Linked DNA regions of Alligator mississippiensis. The protein of the gene in region 1 interacts with the protein of each later gene in a pairwise test. Links are inferred from orthologs where the notes say so. Each region holds a gene or a part of one and is shown in the gene's direction. Other genes may lie near its edges.

Region 1 (7,234 bases):
TGGCAGTCATCAATGCTTGTTTATTGTTGCAAAGTCTGATTGTAATAGGATGGGATGGGATTTTCCAGTCAGTTGTAGATAGGATGAGGCATTATTTTGTACCAGAGCTAATTAAGCATCTGAGGAACCTAAAAGGATGACAAAGAATGACTTAAGAAGCTTACTTGAAAGGTTGCATGGTTATAGCAAGTATTAGTGGCCTTTGAGATAATGCAGCTTCTGGGTGGCAGGAAGAGGGAAACACACACCCAGACAAACAACAAACTTCCACTCGTTTCTAAAGACCAGAACTTGGGGGTTATATCGTTTTACTGAACAGAGCTTTCAGGGTACATTACTGCTGCATAGACTACAAAAATGAGGGCATAAACTAGTCTATCTAGGCTGTTGGCTGCACATCATTTTAATGACAGCTGTGATTTTGTGCATTTATATTAACAATAAAACATTGCTTTTTAAAAAAGGAATCAAACCAGAGAGAAATCACAGGGGAATATAAAACTTTGTTTTAAAACATAAAATCAATTAATTTCTTTTTAGTAATAGATTCATGAAGAAAAACATTTTTAATAGCTTCAGTTTTCAGTTTTAACTATATTAATTATGTTCTCTGCAGATTATTGGTCTTACTTTTTTGAGATTCAAAGTAGGTACAAATTTCAAAATATGAGAGATTATTTTGACAAAGTAATTCTGTTAAAGATTAATTTTAGCTTACTCAAATGTCTCTGGAACTATATTGCCTTTTATTCTGTTTCTCGGGCTGCCTGCTAACTAATCTGGCAAAGACTGAAGATTGTCATGCCAATTATAGACATTTTACAGGATTAAGGACTGTAGGATTTCTTATAGTCCACAGACAAGAATGTATAATGAGGAAGGGTTGTGATGCCATTTTCTTAACATTTTGATTCCATTTGAAATGTCTGGTTTGCAACAATGTTTTTTAGGATTTTTTTCCACAATGTGCCCTCAATTTTGGCAAAACTAGGTTCAAACAGGATTGATTGGATTCTGTTTCAATTAATTATAGTATCAGTGAATGAAATTGTATTATAAGGGTTTGCAGAACCAAGGCTATGTACTTGCCTTGAATTCAAGAATCTCTGTTCTCTGAGTCTTTTTGCAAATGCTAGAATGCCTTTGAATTGTATTGCCTACCAGATTGATATAGGATATTGATACCTATGTCTGTTTTGCATTCTTTTTGTCATGTCACTTGGTCTCCAAGGATTTTCCTTCTTTCTTAACAGAGTTCTTTATCTTGTGGCTTAGGTCTCAAAAAGACCATTATTTTTCTGTGGCTATATCTTGCAGGACTGGACAAACGGGATTTTTACACAAGTTCTATGGAAAACTGTCAAGATAAGTAACATTTTAATAGGTAACTGAAATGTGACCTGGATCTCCCAACTTCATGAATTAAATGATAGTGTCTGCATTAGAAGGTATTTGAGAAAATTCCCTACCATTGCTGCGATGCTTTCAGCTCAATAACTAATAACAACGGTGACAGACAGCAAAGGTGCAGCCAAACTACTACTGCTATTTCAGTCATTGCATTCTGCAGGCCTGCTCTCGCCAGGCTGATGGTCGACTGGAGTCCTGTCAGCATTAACCCTCCTACCATTTCTGGCTTGTAGCAAAGGCATAAAAAATACAAGACAAGGAGTAGAACAGCGCTTCACAGGATGAAGCATACATGTGAGGACAGAAAAATGTCATATAGCTTTAGTAATGATGCAATACAAAAAAACCTTACATGAAGAGCATGTTAAGGTTGCAATATCAACTATTCAAAGTAGGGTTGAATTATGCCTGAATTAAGGTTAGAACAATTTTAATTGTGTAATTTGATTTTAATTCTAATATAGGAGTGTCAAACATGGCCCATGGGTTGGATCCTGTCCATGGGGGGCCACTTTATCCCATCTACCAGGCTACTGATCCCATTGCCACTTGCCCTATCCATGGGCGACTGATGCCTCCTGAATCAGCAGGGGGGGGGGGGGGGGGAGGGGGGGCACCTGATTGCTGAGCAGAGGGGGTCCGGCCCATCACCGAGCCCAGAAATGCCAGCAGTGAAACTGGAATTGCCACCAGGGGACCAACCCTCTGTTCCCCCCTGTCGGTACGCCACTGCGGGGGGGGCACCAAGCACCTGTTGACGCTGCCACTGGCAGTGTCAGCAGTGGGGATGGCCCTTTAATTGGGGGGCACATGCCCCGCCCCCGTTCTCTCCCTACGTGTCGCCTATGGCCCTAATATTGTTGTCCATGCCGCTCTCACTGTTGTTCCTGCTAGTCTCCCCACTGATCAAGCTGTCCCCATCCTGTGCTCAATGCCAGATCCAGCCCACAAAGGAGCTGTGCAGTCCAGATACAGCCCAGGGCAGGAGTTTGACACCCCTGCCCAAGTGCAGAGGTTATGATCCAGTCTTCAGTTCTATGAGCACAGACTGTTTTGTGCCGGTCACTGCCTCACTCAGCACCCGGGTTGAACAATGCTCCCTGAAGGAGCAGCTATTCAATGTTTCATTTTCTCCTTATTGTTCACTACATGGCTTGAAGCCTTATTTTCTACACACCCATCATTCCCTGTCCTGAATACCATTATTAGCTTCCTCATGGCACCTTCTGCAAGGTGCTCATCCCAACTATTAATAAAAAATGTGTCCTCCTTGGGAATTAAGGGGATATTTTATTCTCATTGTATGTCTCAGGAATGGAGGCCCAGAGACATTTGCAGCAAATGTGGACACCAAGGTGGGGGGCTCCATTTAAGGACTTGGCATGTCTATTCATTGCAATCTCTGGAGAGACTCCAAGATTCAGGTCTACGACGCCATCATCATCCCCAGTCTCCTCTACAGATGTGAAAGGTGGGTGATTTACTGTTGTCATCTTAAGAGCTTTGGGAGGTATCATCAACGAAAATCTCCAGAAAATCTTTCACATCAAATGGGAAAATTGCTGCACAAATGCCAGCTTCCTTGCTAAAGCCAATGTTGCCTGTGCTGAGTCCATGATCCTTGAGCACAAACTGTGCTGGACTGGGTGTTGTGTACAGATGGCCGACTCTCAACTCCCAAAACAAGTGCTCTACTCCCATCTTGGTAATGGCCTGAGGTCTCGCAGTGGCCAGGGGACATGTTATAAGGACACATTGAAGGCATACCTCAAGAAAATGGATGCTGACATCAAGAGTTGGGATAAGCTGTCTCCTGACCAGCTCCAGTGGCGCTGCAACTGCAAGCAAGCAGCAGCCCATTTTGAGGCAAAGTGTCTTGCTCTCAAAGCAGAGAAGAGAGAGCAGAGGAAGGAAAAGGAGAGAAGACCTGCAACTTCTGCAGACGGATCTATGGCTCAAGGATTGGCCTCAAAAATCATCTCAAGACCCCATCAATGAACTGGGGTAGATCATCCTTGAATCGAGGGATTGCCCCTGACAGTTTGGGGACTTGATAGAAAAAGCAGTGTTTTCTAGCATTTCATCCCTTCAGAGCACTGCTCTCCTGCGACTGGCGCTTGGGGAAGTCAAGCTCCGGTGCCTCATTATCCAGTACTCTCCCTTTGCCTGTGCCATGTTGGAGTGGTGTATTTTGCTAATAGGTTAGACAGGGGTGGGTGGTCCCTTTTATTCCTACTCCCCCAAAGTTTATAGCCAACTGGCAGCAGCCAGGAGCGGATCCAGAGGGGGTGCAGCAGAGGTGCGGCTGCACCCTGGTTTTGAACCGCATTGCCTTGCCCCGCAGGAGCCTCTGAGGACTTTTTCCAAGTCCCCAAAGCAGGTGAGCACTACCCAGTGCTCGGATGCACCTCTCCCCTGCCGGCTGCTGCTGCTGCTTTCTCCCCTGCCGGCTGGGGGGAGGGTGGGAAGCTCCTATCCCAGGACCTTCAGAGAGGCTCCTGCCCCTATTGCCAACCTTGGGGGAAGGGGGTGAGGGGAGCTGGGCTGGGACACAGAAGCTTCCCCGGCCCAGCGCGTCTGCCCAGCTGCAGGCGGAGCCGCTCCGCCCCCGGTGCTTTTCTCCACCTGAAGAGAAAGGCGCGAACGGACACGCCAGCACTCGAACTCGCGTCTCAATCGCGCCGCGCGGCCCTGCGCCCCCACGCCCCGCCCCGCCTCCCGTGTGAGGGGGCGGGGCCACGGCAGCACCTGCAGGCCCTGAGGGAGGCGGCCGCTTCGCAGTAGCGCATGCGCCATCGTAGGCTGGCGCCCCGCCCCCACGCAGCCGCTCGGGCAGGCGGAGGTGGCGGCTGGCGCTCGGCAGGTGAGGGGCGGCGGCCGCTGGGGCCGCGCGCGCGGGGGGGCTACCCTCCCCGCTCTGCTTCTCGCGGCCGCCTCAGGCGCCGGCGGGCCAAGGGGGAGGGGGAGCGGGAGCGGGGCAGAGCCGGCCCCGAGGGACCCGCTGGGCTGTCGGGGCCGCCTGTGGCTCCGCGGCTTGGGAGCAACCTGGGGGCTGCGGTTGAAGCCCGGGGCGGGGGAGATGGGCTTGGTGGTGGGGATGCGGCCCAGATGAGGCGCTTGGGGGGGGAGACTGTGTTTTTTTTTTTTAATTGCTGAGGTGAGAGGGAAATACGCCCGTGATGAGCTGCTGTTGCAGGGAAACCTCTGTGATACCTCAGACAACGAAGCCTGGGTGAAAAGGGGGCCCTAAAAAGTGGGATGGGAAAGAGGAGAGTGTGTCTGAGGCGAGGTGCAAGGCAGTGTCACCCTCACAGTGATGCCTTGTGTTGGGCCAGCGGTATCGGCCTGCCTGGCTCGGACCCCAGCGGCACAGGTTGATTCAATAAAAGGTGTCATCCTAAGTGATCCCAGCCTCCTATCATTTTAGGACCGTCACAGCTGCCACGTGGCTCTTGCGCTGCCCTAGGTGCAGCACTGGACCTAGACTCCTCGTGGCCCCAGGTGAACTTGTATTTGCCAGAGATAATGATAATAATCATAATTATTTTCACCATTTTCGGGCCCCCTTTCTGTCTGGGCCTGGTTCGCCCATGCCTGTGTCCGGCCCTGCCTAGGTGAGAAGCAGGCTCCTAACACTGTTTGCTCAGTTTGATGTTGAAGCTTGCCCTTGAAATCTTGGCCTCCAATGGCATTGTTCTTGAGTTATTTTTTTAAAAGTAGTGCTTACCCACTTAGTATTTGCCACCTGTGGTGCGATAAAGATTGCAGGCTTGTTTTTTATTTCATTTAAGATCTGCAGGCCATATCACACCTTGTCACTGTAGAGCAATGTTTTAGAGGGAGTAGGTTGGTCTAAGGGCATGGGCAGACAAGGTTCTTTGGGTAAATGCGATATCTTTTATTAGACCAACTCAAATAATTGGAAGAAAGATTTTTTCCAACTGAGTTGGTCTAATAAAAGATATCGCATTTACCCAAAGAACCTTGTCTTCTGAGCAGTGGTTTAAATACTCGCACTGTTAAGTAGTGAGGTTTTAATTGACTGCATTATGAAATTAGGGTTGTTTTGGAACCAAAGCATCACCCCACAGATCATTTTTTCTCCTCCTAAAGAAAGTTCTGGGCATAGCTTTTGTACAGCTGACCCAGCACTGCCTGACACCTTCCTATATATTTTGTTTATTGTACTGGATTCGTAAGCTTTATGACAAACTTTTTTTGGCAGACGGCACGCAAAGCAGCAAAATCTTGAGCGGTTATTTGTAGCCGCAGCTAATATATCATTGCAATATTTTCACCAGTTCCGGACTGTTGCCTTACTTTATTTGTTGTTGGCACCCTTGGTCACTTACCTTTACTTTGTATTACTTTATTAGTTTACTCTATTTACTTGAAACTGTCACTTTACACACAGTCAGGTATGGTGACTGTTTTTATGGACTGTTCAGTAACTAACATCATTAGCTGTTTCCTTTTAGGAGCAGGAGTAAGGGTATTTTATTTTGAAGTATGTACTGGCAGATGTCATATGTTTAAGCATATCCATATTCCTTGACAAAGAGAGAGGTTGGGAATATGGAGCAAAAACTGAAGCCTGATTGGTTATGATTTTTTGTAGAGGTTTTTTTGCTTTTTTTGCATTGTATTACGGTTAAGTATGTTTTCATGCATTCTGAGCATGGCTGTATCAGGCTTACCTTTTGGGTCTCATTTAGCAGGATTATACTTCTGTTGCACTAGGTTACTATTACCTTTTGAGTAAAGAAGGATAAATAATTTACCAGTGTCATTATGCTTGTAATAAATAACAAATGTGAATATACACTGCAGCTGACAGTGTAGTACCCAGAACACTTGCATCCTTTTCATTATATTTAAATGGGTAAGCTTTTTCCAGCTGAACAATTAAAACAATCTTTTTCATTGAAGGATTTATTTTTGCATCTTAGAGGAAGATTAATAGTTGTTAGTCTCAACTCCTGTATTCACTTTATTTAAAATTCAGATTGAATGATTTTAAAATTCTAGTGAATAGCTTTTATAGTCTTCTTAGTACATTTTGTTACATCTGTCAAAGAAGCAACTTCCTTCTAACCTTTTTTTTAATGCCTAGTTTTTGTAATAATAGATTCAGAAGTATGGTATTTAAGACTATCTCCATCTCAGTTTAAGTAAAATCTCTTTTGAATAATGCAGGTTCATGCTGATGTCATTCATATAATTACTGTTTTCCAAAAAAAATAAAGAAGGGAGTACTTCATTATGAATGTCTCCAAGCAATTCTGTAGAGCTTTAAAAACCTGTAAAGCATAGTTTTGTTGTTCTAACTAAAAACTTCAACTTTGTTAGCTGCTCAATAGCTATTGAATTCCACTCAATTCAGTAGCAGTGGAACTAGACCTAAAATCCAAAAAGTAGTGTGGACAGACTATTTTGGAGGAACTAACTAAGTTGCATTAACTTAAATGAATTAGCATTTATTGTAAAAATGAAGACTGTATATAGGAAAACACTTAAAATCTAGGACATTGATATGTTAACTGAAAGTGAAAAAAATCCAATTTTAACGACACCAGTGGATTATATTGTGCAGTACTGGCTTTCATTTTAGCAAAAAGGTATTGTAACCCTCAGCTTTTAAGCAGGGTATTAATGTTTTTTATAGACTTCACAAAGCTTTATGGGCATTATAAGCATTTAGGTGTTTATCCTTGAATATTGGTTGTTTCTGGTGACTTTAGTAGGTACAACTCCTGTACGTTGCAGTGTGGTTTTTTTCATGCTGACGATGTCTGTTTAAACAAAACAAAATAAAAGAATTCAA
Region 2 (7,706 bases), on another chromosome or scaffold:
GGGGGGGGAGGGGACAAGAAGAGATAGGGAAAGGCTTTAGGGGATCCCAGGCTGGCTGGGCAAATGGGTTAAGAGATTGGAGCTGGCTGTGGGGGGGAAGGGATTGGGGTAGTGGAGGGCTGAGGAAAATGTGCTAGGGGATTGGGAAGCCCGGGGGGGGGGAGGGGGGCGTGACAGCAAAGGGGGGCCCCACTGGGGAGGGGCTGGCTCTTAACTCTCCACCCCAGCTGTCAAAGCACTGGAAGGACAGTGACCGCGAAGATTTCCTTGATGACTTCGGCTCTGACCCCGAGGATGAGGCACGACCCCGACCCCCCCGTGCTGCCCCAGGCCAGGTGAGATGAGGGGGGGCCCATCAGGGGTGGGGCTGGGAGCCTACATGCCTAGGTTCTCTTTCCTAACACCCCCCATATCTGCTGTGGGTTGGAGCTGGGGGTCGTGGACAGCTGAGTTCCCCCTCACAATCCCCTCTCGGGTGTAGGTGCCTGGGCCCCAGCCACACCCTGGGTTGTCTTCTGCTCCCGAGCCACGGTACTGTAGCGGGGGGCCTAGACACCTGGGTCTTCTCCCCACCAGCCTCCTTCTCTCCCTCCCCCACAGCCCCAAATGGCCACCCCAGCCCTGCCACTGCCCCCCCCTGCAGCCCCTCCGGCCTTGGGGGAGCCAGACAGTGGGGTTGGCCGCACAGATGAGAGCACCCGCAATGAGGAGAGTTCGGAGCATGACTTGCTAGGTGATGAGCCCCCCAGCGGCACTGGCACCCCAGCCCTGCAGCGCCGTGGTGAGCCCCTCCCAGATGCTGTGGTCCCTCCACCTAGCCCCCCAGCCACCCCAGGCCTCACCCCGGAGGAGGCTGAAAGATATCGTGAGCTTCTGGAGCTACGGGGGCACCTCCAGAATGGCAACCAGGGTCCCCCCCTTTACCGGGGGGTGCCAGGGGGCCTGGATGTCAACCGCAATGAGGTAGCTTTGCTGGAGGAGGAGCTGCGGCACCTGGAATTCAAGTGCCGCAACATTCTCCGTGCCCAAAAGATGCAGCAGTTGCGGGAGCGGTGCCTCAAGGCCTGGCTATTGGAAGATGGGGGGCCAGGGGGCTATGAAGTCTCCCTAGGCGGCCCCCCCCATGCCTTGGCTGATATCACGGAGCTCCCTGAAAGCGCCTATAACACAGGTGAGAGCTGCCGCAGCACCCCTCAGCTGGAGAGCCCACTCCGCCAGCCCCCCATGGGCAACCTCAACCGGCCTCCAGGTCCCCCAAAAACTCGGCGCCCTAGTGAGGCCCGTCCAACCAAGCGTAGCCCCCGGGAAGCTTCACCCAGTCGTCTAGGCCGCAAGGACAACATGGCTGTTGTTGCTTCAGCACCGCCAGGCCTAGTGCCTCTGTGTGCCAGCGAAGCCTTGCCAGGAGTAGGCCGGGGTGGGGAATGGCGGGGCAAAGGTGCCAAGAGGCCTGTGAGAGACCGGCTTCTCAAGGCACGGGCCTTGAAGATCAGGGAGGAAAGAAGCGGGATGACAACCGATGACGATGCCATGAGCGAGCTGAAGTTGGGCCGCTACTGGAGCCGAGAAGAACGCAAGCAGCACCTGGCCCGAGCCCGGGAGCAGCGCCGGCGCCGTGAGCTGATGCTCCAGAGCCGGCTGGAAGCAGCAGGGGCATCCCCCGAGACCTCAGCCGTGGCCCTGGGCCACCGCAAGACACTGAGGAAGCGGAGCCGCCGCATCCTCGACAACTGGCTGACCATCCAGGAGATGCTGGCCCATGGCAGCCGTGGGGCCGACGGCCGGCGGCTCTACAACCCCCTGCTCTCTGTCACTACTGTCTGAGGGGGAGTTCCACCCCCCGCCTCCACCTCCCACAAGGCCTGTTGCCCTGGCAAGGCTGGCCCCGCTGAGCTTGTGGCTGTGGGAGGCTTTGCCAGGCTTAGTCAGCCACAAGGACAAAATGGCCACCATTGCTTTTGCAGTACTGACCTTTGGTCTAAGTCTAGGGCCAAGGGTGGCTTTGCCAAGAAGAATAGGCCACAGGGGTGACATGGCTGCTGTTGCCCTGGCGATGCCCACCCCAGCCAAGCAAGGGCCTGGGAGGCTTTGCTGGGCCGAGCAAGCTGTGCGGGCAATGTGGCTGCTATTGGTCTGGCACTTCCTGCCCTAGCCCGGCGTGGGGAAGGTTCACTAGGTTCAGTAGGCCACAGGGACAATATAGCCACTGTCACCCTTCCCTGCTGGGTCTGGAGGGGTTTTGCCAAGAAAAGTAGGCAGCAGGGGCAAAGTGACCAAGACTGTGCCTGGGGAGGCTTTGTAGCCACTGTCAACCTGGTGCTGCCTGGCCTGGGCCCTGTAGAGGCGTTACCAGGCCAAGCAAACCACACTGACACCATGGCTAGGCTACCAGTACCCCAGACTTTCAGGTGGAACAAGCGCCTGAAAGAACCCAGATGTCTGGGTTCCTTTCTCCCAAGACCATGTACAGGGACGCACCCCCCGCATTGGAAAGGTCCTGAAATGAATTGGAGGGAGGGGGGGGACTAGCTGAAAGTGCCCCCCCCCCCCAAGGGGGAGGAGGTGTGCCACAGAACTGGGGGCTGGCTTTAGGAGGGGGTTGAACGAATGGAAGAGCCTGTAAGGAGATGCTGGAAAAAGGGGTCCCCATGAGCAGAACCCTGACATCCATCCAGTGGGGATACCCCTCCCTCCAAGAAGCCAGGCCCCCCTGCTTGCAGCTGCCCCCAGCCTATGGACAATGGTGGGAGGGCTAGGATTACCTGCCCCCCCCCAGCACAAGGACAGGCGGGGGGGGGGGGGGGGGGATCTCCCCTGCGGGGCTTGCTTGTGTCTGTGATTGTGGGTGTTTGTGGTTTGCCATCTGTATCTCTTGGGAAAGGGGAGTAACCTAGGTGCCTAAGGCTTCCCTACCTCCTTCCCTGCCTCCAACCTCCCCCTTCCCTCAGTGGCCAGGGGCCCCAGGTGCTTAGAACCTTCCCCTCCCCCAGAGCACAGAGAACCTAGGCATTCAGGTTCCCCCAATGCTCATCCCTATCAGATACCCCCCCCTCCCCCAGCCAATACCTAGGGAACCTAGGGCACACCCTGCTCCCTCCCAAGTTCCCTGTAGCCCATGCCAGCAAAGAAGTCTTGTGTCCTTGCCTCACCCACCTTCCATGCTCCCCACCTTTCCAACGTTGAACCTAGGTACCCTAGCTCTCAGCCCTTGCCCCTCTTCCTCTCCCCCCACCCTGGAGGGAACCCAGGCATCTTGGTTCCCCCTGCATACTTCTTCAATGCCCAACGGACCCAGACGACCGGGGTCCCCGCCTCGCCCCGTAGCTCCCCTCCAATGCCCCGAGGAACCCAGGCGTCTTTGCTCCCCGCCCCACCTCCCCCAACCGGAAGGGAACCCAGGCGTCCAGGTCCCCCGCGCCCCTCCTCATTGCTTGTCTCTTCACCCCACGCCCGCCCTCAGCAGGGGGTTCGTTGGTTGTACAGCGCGGTGCGGGTGGGGGCAGGGGAGGTCCTCCCGGACGCCTGGGTCCCGGGGGCGCCGTGAGAATAAAGCGCCGGGTGGTTTTTACTCGTTTCAAGTCGTCGCCTCCGGGTTGTTGCTTTCTTGAGGGGGCGGGTCACCCCCAGAGCCCCCCATCCTCTACCGCTTCCACCCCAGAACCAGCGGCATTGGAGGGGGGGGGGGGAAACCACCTCGGGGCGGGGCTTGGGGGTTAGGCCCACCCACCCAGTCTGGGAGTCAGGCGACTGGGTTTGACTCCGGCCCACCCGGAGCCAGGTAGTGAGGAGCTCCACCCCAGAGCCCGCATTAGTGTGGGAGCAGGAAACGCCCCCGAGTCAGGCTTGGGGTGAAGCCCCTGTCCCAGAAGAGCCCGGACGCCTGTGCTCTTTAATCAATCCAATCAAGATGAAGAAACCAGGAAATGACAGTAATGGTAACTGCGGGCTGGAGGCGGCTGTTCCGGCGGTGCCCCCCACTCCCACCCCACCGCTTTGGGTTATCTTGGCTCCGAGCCGCCCCTACTCCCCTCGCAGAGAACCTAGACGCCCACCCTCTGAACCCCACCCCCATCTGAGGACACTACTTCAAAGAAGCTAGCAGCACTACACCAGAGACATCGCCTCCTTTGCCTTTGCTCTCATTGGTCCTCGTGACTGTCACTCCATGCCCTTCAGGGCTATGATTGGTGCTGAGGGTGAGCGGGCGGGAGAAACCATCACGGGGGGGTCTCCTGCTCAGGATTGGCTCGGCAGACGATGCCGCCTCCTGTCTACTGATTGGCTTCTTGGAGCCCAAGCAAACGCCAATCGAGGGATTCTAGACTGTGACTGGCCGGGATTTGGTCCTGCCTCTTAAACCATGTGATTGGCTGCCTCCACCATGGGGGCGGGACTATGGAGTCTATCATTTGATTGGCTAGAAGTAGGGCTTAACTCTGCAGCCACGCTCGTGACTGGCTAATGCTCAGGATGTAGGCGAAACCAAACCCTCCATGTTGCCCAATAGGAAGCTGAGGCCATGGGTGGGCGGGGCTATCCGGCGCCGATTGATTGGCAGCCAGGCGGAGACGGGACTTCATCTTCCCTCCTGCTTCCCCATTGGCGGAGCTGGAAGCCAGAGGCTCCTGGCCTCTGATTGGCCTAAGGGCCTGTTCAGCGGGGCCAAGTTGGTCTCCGATTTGCCTAGCTTGGCCCGAGGGGAGGGCAAGTGTGGCTTCCTGTGCCCTGCCCCTTTCCCCCGGCGGCCCCTCATGGAGCTGGACCTGGAGTGGCCGAGCGAGAGCCATGAACATCCGCAACGCGCGGGTGCGGGGGAGGGTTTGGGTGCCTGGGGGGGGCGGTGAGGAGCCCGGACGCCTGGGTCTCTTGGGAGTTGGGGGGCGGGTGAGGGCCCGGATCCCTGGGTCCGCTGCCCTCTCACCTGCCCTCTCTACCCCCCGCAGCCCGAGGACTTGATGAACATGCAGCACTGCAACCTGCTGTGTCTGCCCGAGAACTACCAGATGAAGTACTACTTCTACCACGGCCTGTCTTGGCCACAGGTGCGCCCGGACTTCTCGGTTCCTTGGGAGGGTGGGGTCTGGCGGGGTGATAGTAGGGACTAGGAGCCCGGACTCCTGGGTTCTCGGAGAGGGGAGGGGGCTCGAAACCAGGATGCCTGGGTTCCTTCCCAGCTCAGGGAGGCTTGCCAAGGCAGTGGATAGGAGCCCAGGCTGGTTTGACAGGGCCCTGCCTGTCGCTCCAGCCACCACCCAGGAGATGCCCAAGGGTATTTCATACCTCATTAAAGGTATTAAATAAATGCCTCACCCCTTCCTCCCAGCTGGAACCCCACCCCTCCCCCACTCCCCTGGCCCTATGAGGGGGGGTGCTCCGGGTCCAGAGTGAGGGGCACAGAGAGGATTGGGGGGATCCCCTTGCCCCCTAATTTGTATCTGCTCCCCCAGCTGTCCTACATCGCTGAAGATGAGAATGGGAAGATCGTAGGCTATGTACTGGCCAAGATGTGAGTGGGGTCACCGGCTGCAGGTTGGGAGTGAGGGGCACTGCTGTGCTGTATGCGGCAGGCTGCGGGTCAGAAGTAATGCTGAGGGACACCATGAGGCTACAGGAGGGCTGCAGGTTGGGAATGAGGGGCACCAATATGGGGGTGAGGTTGTTGAGTGGGTCTGTAGTTGGAGGTGGGGCTGTAGATTGGAAGTGAAGGGCACCATGAGGCTATCAGCAGGGCTGCAGGTCAGGAACGAGGGACATTGTGGGGATGTAGAGGAGGCTACGGGTTGGGAGTGAGGGGCACTGCAGACCCCCACCATGGGACTGAGCTCCTTCATTTGCTCACCAGGGAGGAAGACCCCGATGATGTCCCCCACGGACACATCACTTCTCTGGTGAGTCCTACCTCCCTTCCCCACCCCGGGCACTTAGTTTGGTGGGGGGCACATGGGAGTCTGGGGATTTTCTCCCATCCGCAAGGAGATGATGGAGGTTTGGGGAGGGGATCTGGAGCGGGTGAGGGAGGAGGGCAGATGCAAGTGGGGCTGGGAGCCCAGACTCCTAGGTTCTCTGGAGTCTGTTGGGTGGGAAGGAGCAGGAGAGTGCTGGGAGCCTGGATGATAGGGTTCTTTGGGAGAGGGTGGGACGTGAGAAGGGGTCTGGAACCCTGATACCTGAGATCCCTAGTTTGCAGGTCTGGGGAGGCTGGAAGCCCAGACACCTGGGTTCTCTGGGAGTGGGTGGGGGTTTTGAATTGAGAACAGGGGGCTGAGAACCAGGATGCCTAGTTTCTCTGGGAGGGGAGTGGGGACTGGGGGGGGTAGGAGCCTGGATGCCCAGGTTCCCTAGTTCAGAGGTCTGGGAGGGGCTGGATGCCCCGATGCCTGGGTTCTCTGGGACAGGGGTGGGGACTGGGGGGTACCTGACCATCCTCTCCACCCCCAGGCAGTGAAACGCTCTCACCGGCGCCTGGGGCTGGCACAGAAGCTCATGGACCAGGCCTCTCGTGCCATGATTGAAAATTTCAATGCCAAGTACGTGTCTCTGCATGTCCGCAAGAGGTGAGTGACCCCTAGCCCCTGCCTGGAGTTCCCTGGGGTCCCTTGGGTCTAGTCCTGTATCCCCCCTACCCTGGTCCTGCCTTCCCCCAGCCATGTCCATAGGGCTGCAGGTGACCAAAGGGGCAGTGACTCCTGACTTTTAACCCTATAATGACTCTCATCCCCCACACAGTATAGTGGTGAGTAACTCCTGACTATTGAGCTCATGGTTATCTTGATCTTACACACATGCATACATGAGCCTTGACCTTTGACCTCCTCACAGTGACATTGACTGTCCATGCATTCGCCATAAGGGTGTGAGCCCTGACCTCTGACCCCACAGTTACACTGACCACTACACCCCATAGTGATGAGTGGCCCCTGACCTTTGACCCCATGGTGACCTTGAGCCCCCACACACACTGGGGAGGGGTTTTGACTTTTGATCCCATGGTGATCCTGCCTCCTTATACCATTATGCCAAAGGGTTGTGATCTTGACCACCTCATGGTGTCATGGTGGTGGCTGATCCCTGTTCCCCCTCTGTGGGTCACCACTCATTCTATGACCTCTGACCCCTGAACTCCGAAGCCACACCAACTATCTGAGTGGAGAGGGGGGTAACCTCATGACCCTGCCCTGTGACTTACGCTCTTCTAAACCACTTCATGCCTCACCAGAAGTGGGAGCTGCCCCCTCAGATATGCCCCCCTGGGGATAGGGCAAATACTGTGCCTTAGGGAGCCCTGGGGCAACACCCCCCCACCTAATACCCGCCTTGTCTTGTAGCAACCGGGCAGCTCTGCACCTCTACTCCAACACCCTCAACTTCCAGTGAGTCCACGGGGGGTGATGGGATAATGGTGGCTCCTGGGGAACGATGTGATAGCAAAGGACTGGGGATGACAGGCTTGTGGAGGATCCAGGGGGAGAGCCGGGGGGGGTAGTAGGGGTGAAGCCTGGGGGTGATGGGATAGTGGAGGACTGCCAGCGGGGACTGGCTATGGGCATTGGAGGGAGCTATGGGACTGTCTGTGCCAGTCAGGTCCTGGGCTCCCCCTTTAATATTTCCACCCCATTAATAAGAGGCCACCTGTAGGATCAGCGAGGTGGAGCCCAAGTACTATGCGGATGGGGAGGACGCCTATGCCATGAAGAGGGACCTCACAC

Evidence for each region. The genes of interacting proteins can lie anywhere in the genome.
Region 2: the proteins of RAB3IP (region 1) and NAA10 interact in binary tests that used the Homo sapiens proteins (3 or more experiments, as listed by UniProt). The two-hybrid records come from large-scale screens. The link is inferred for Alligator mississippiensis from reciprocal best matches to the Homo sapiens genes RAB3IP and NAA10.

The regions. Positions count from the first base shown.
Region 1 is NC_081827.1:70,099,800-70,107,033, forward strand, and holds the start of RAB3IP (rab-3A-interacting protein), read left to right. Parts: upstream 1-4,191; 5' UTR 4,192-4,273; intron 4,274-7,234. UniProt on the Homo sapiens protein: Guanine nucleotide exchange factor (GEF) which may activate RAB8A and RAB8B. Promotes the exchange of GDP to GTP, converting inactive GDP-bound Rab proteins into their active GTP-bound form.
Region 2 is NC_081831.1:28,666,396-28,674,101, forward strand, and holds the start of NAA10 (N-alpha-acetyltransferase 10), read left to right. Parts: upstream 1-4,695; 5' UTR 4,696-4,785; coding exon 4,786-4,806; intron 4,807-4,943; coding exon 4,944-5,042; intron 5,043-5,447; coding exon 5,448-5,506; intron 5,507-5,842; coding exon 5,843-5,888; intron 5,889-6,438; coding exon 6,439-6,554; intron 6,555-7,325; coding exon 7,326-7,370; intron 7,371-7,635; coding exon 7,636-7,706. Other genes in the region: PDZD4 (PDZ domain-containing protein 4), read left to right, coding at 228-335, 601-1,824. UniProt on the Homo sapiens protein: Catalytic subunit of N-terminal acetyltransferase complexes which display alpha (N-terminal) acetyltransferase activity. Acetylates amino termini that are devoid of initiator methionine.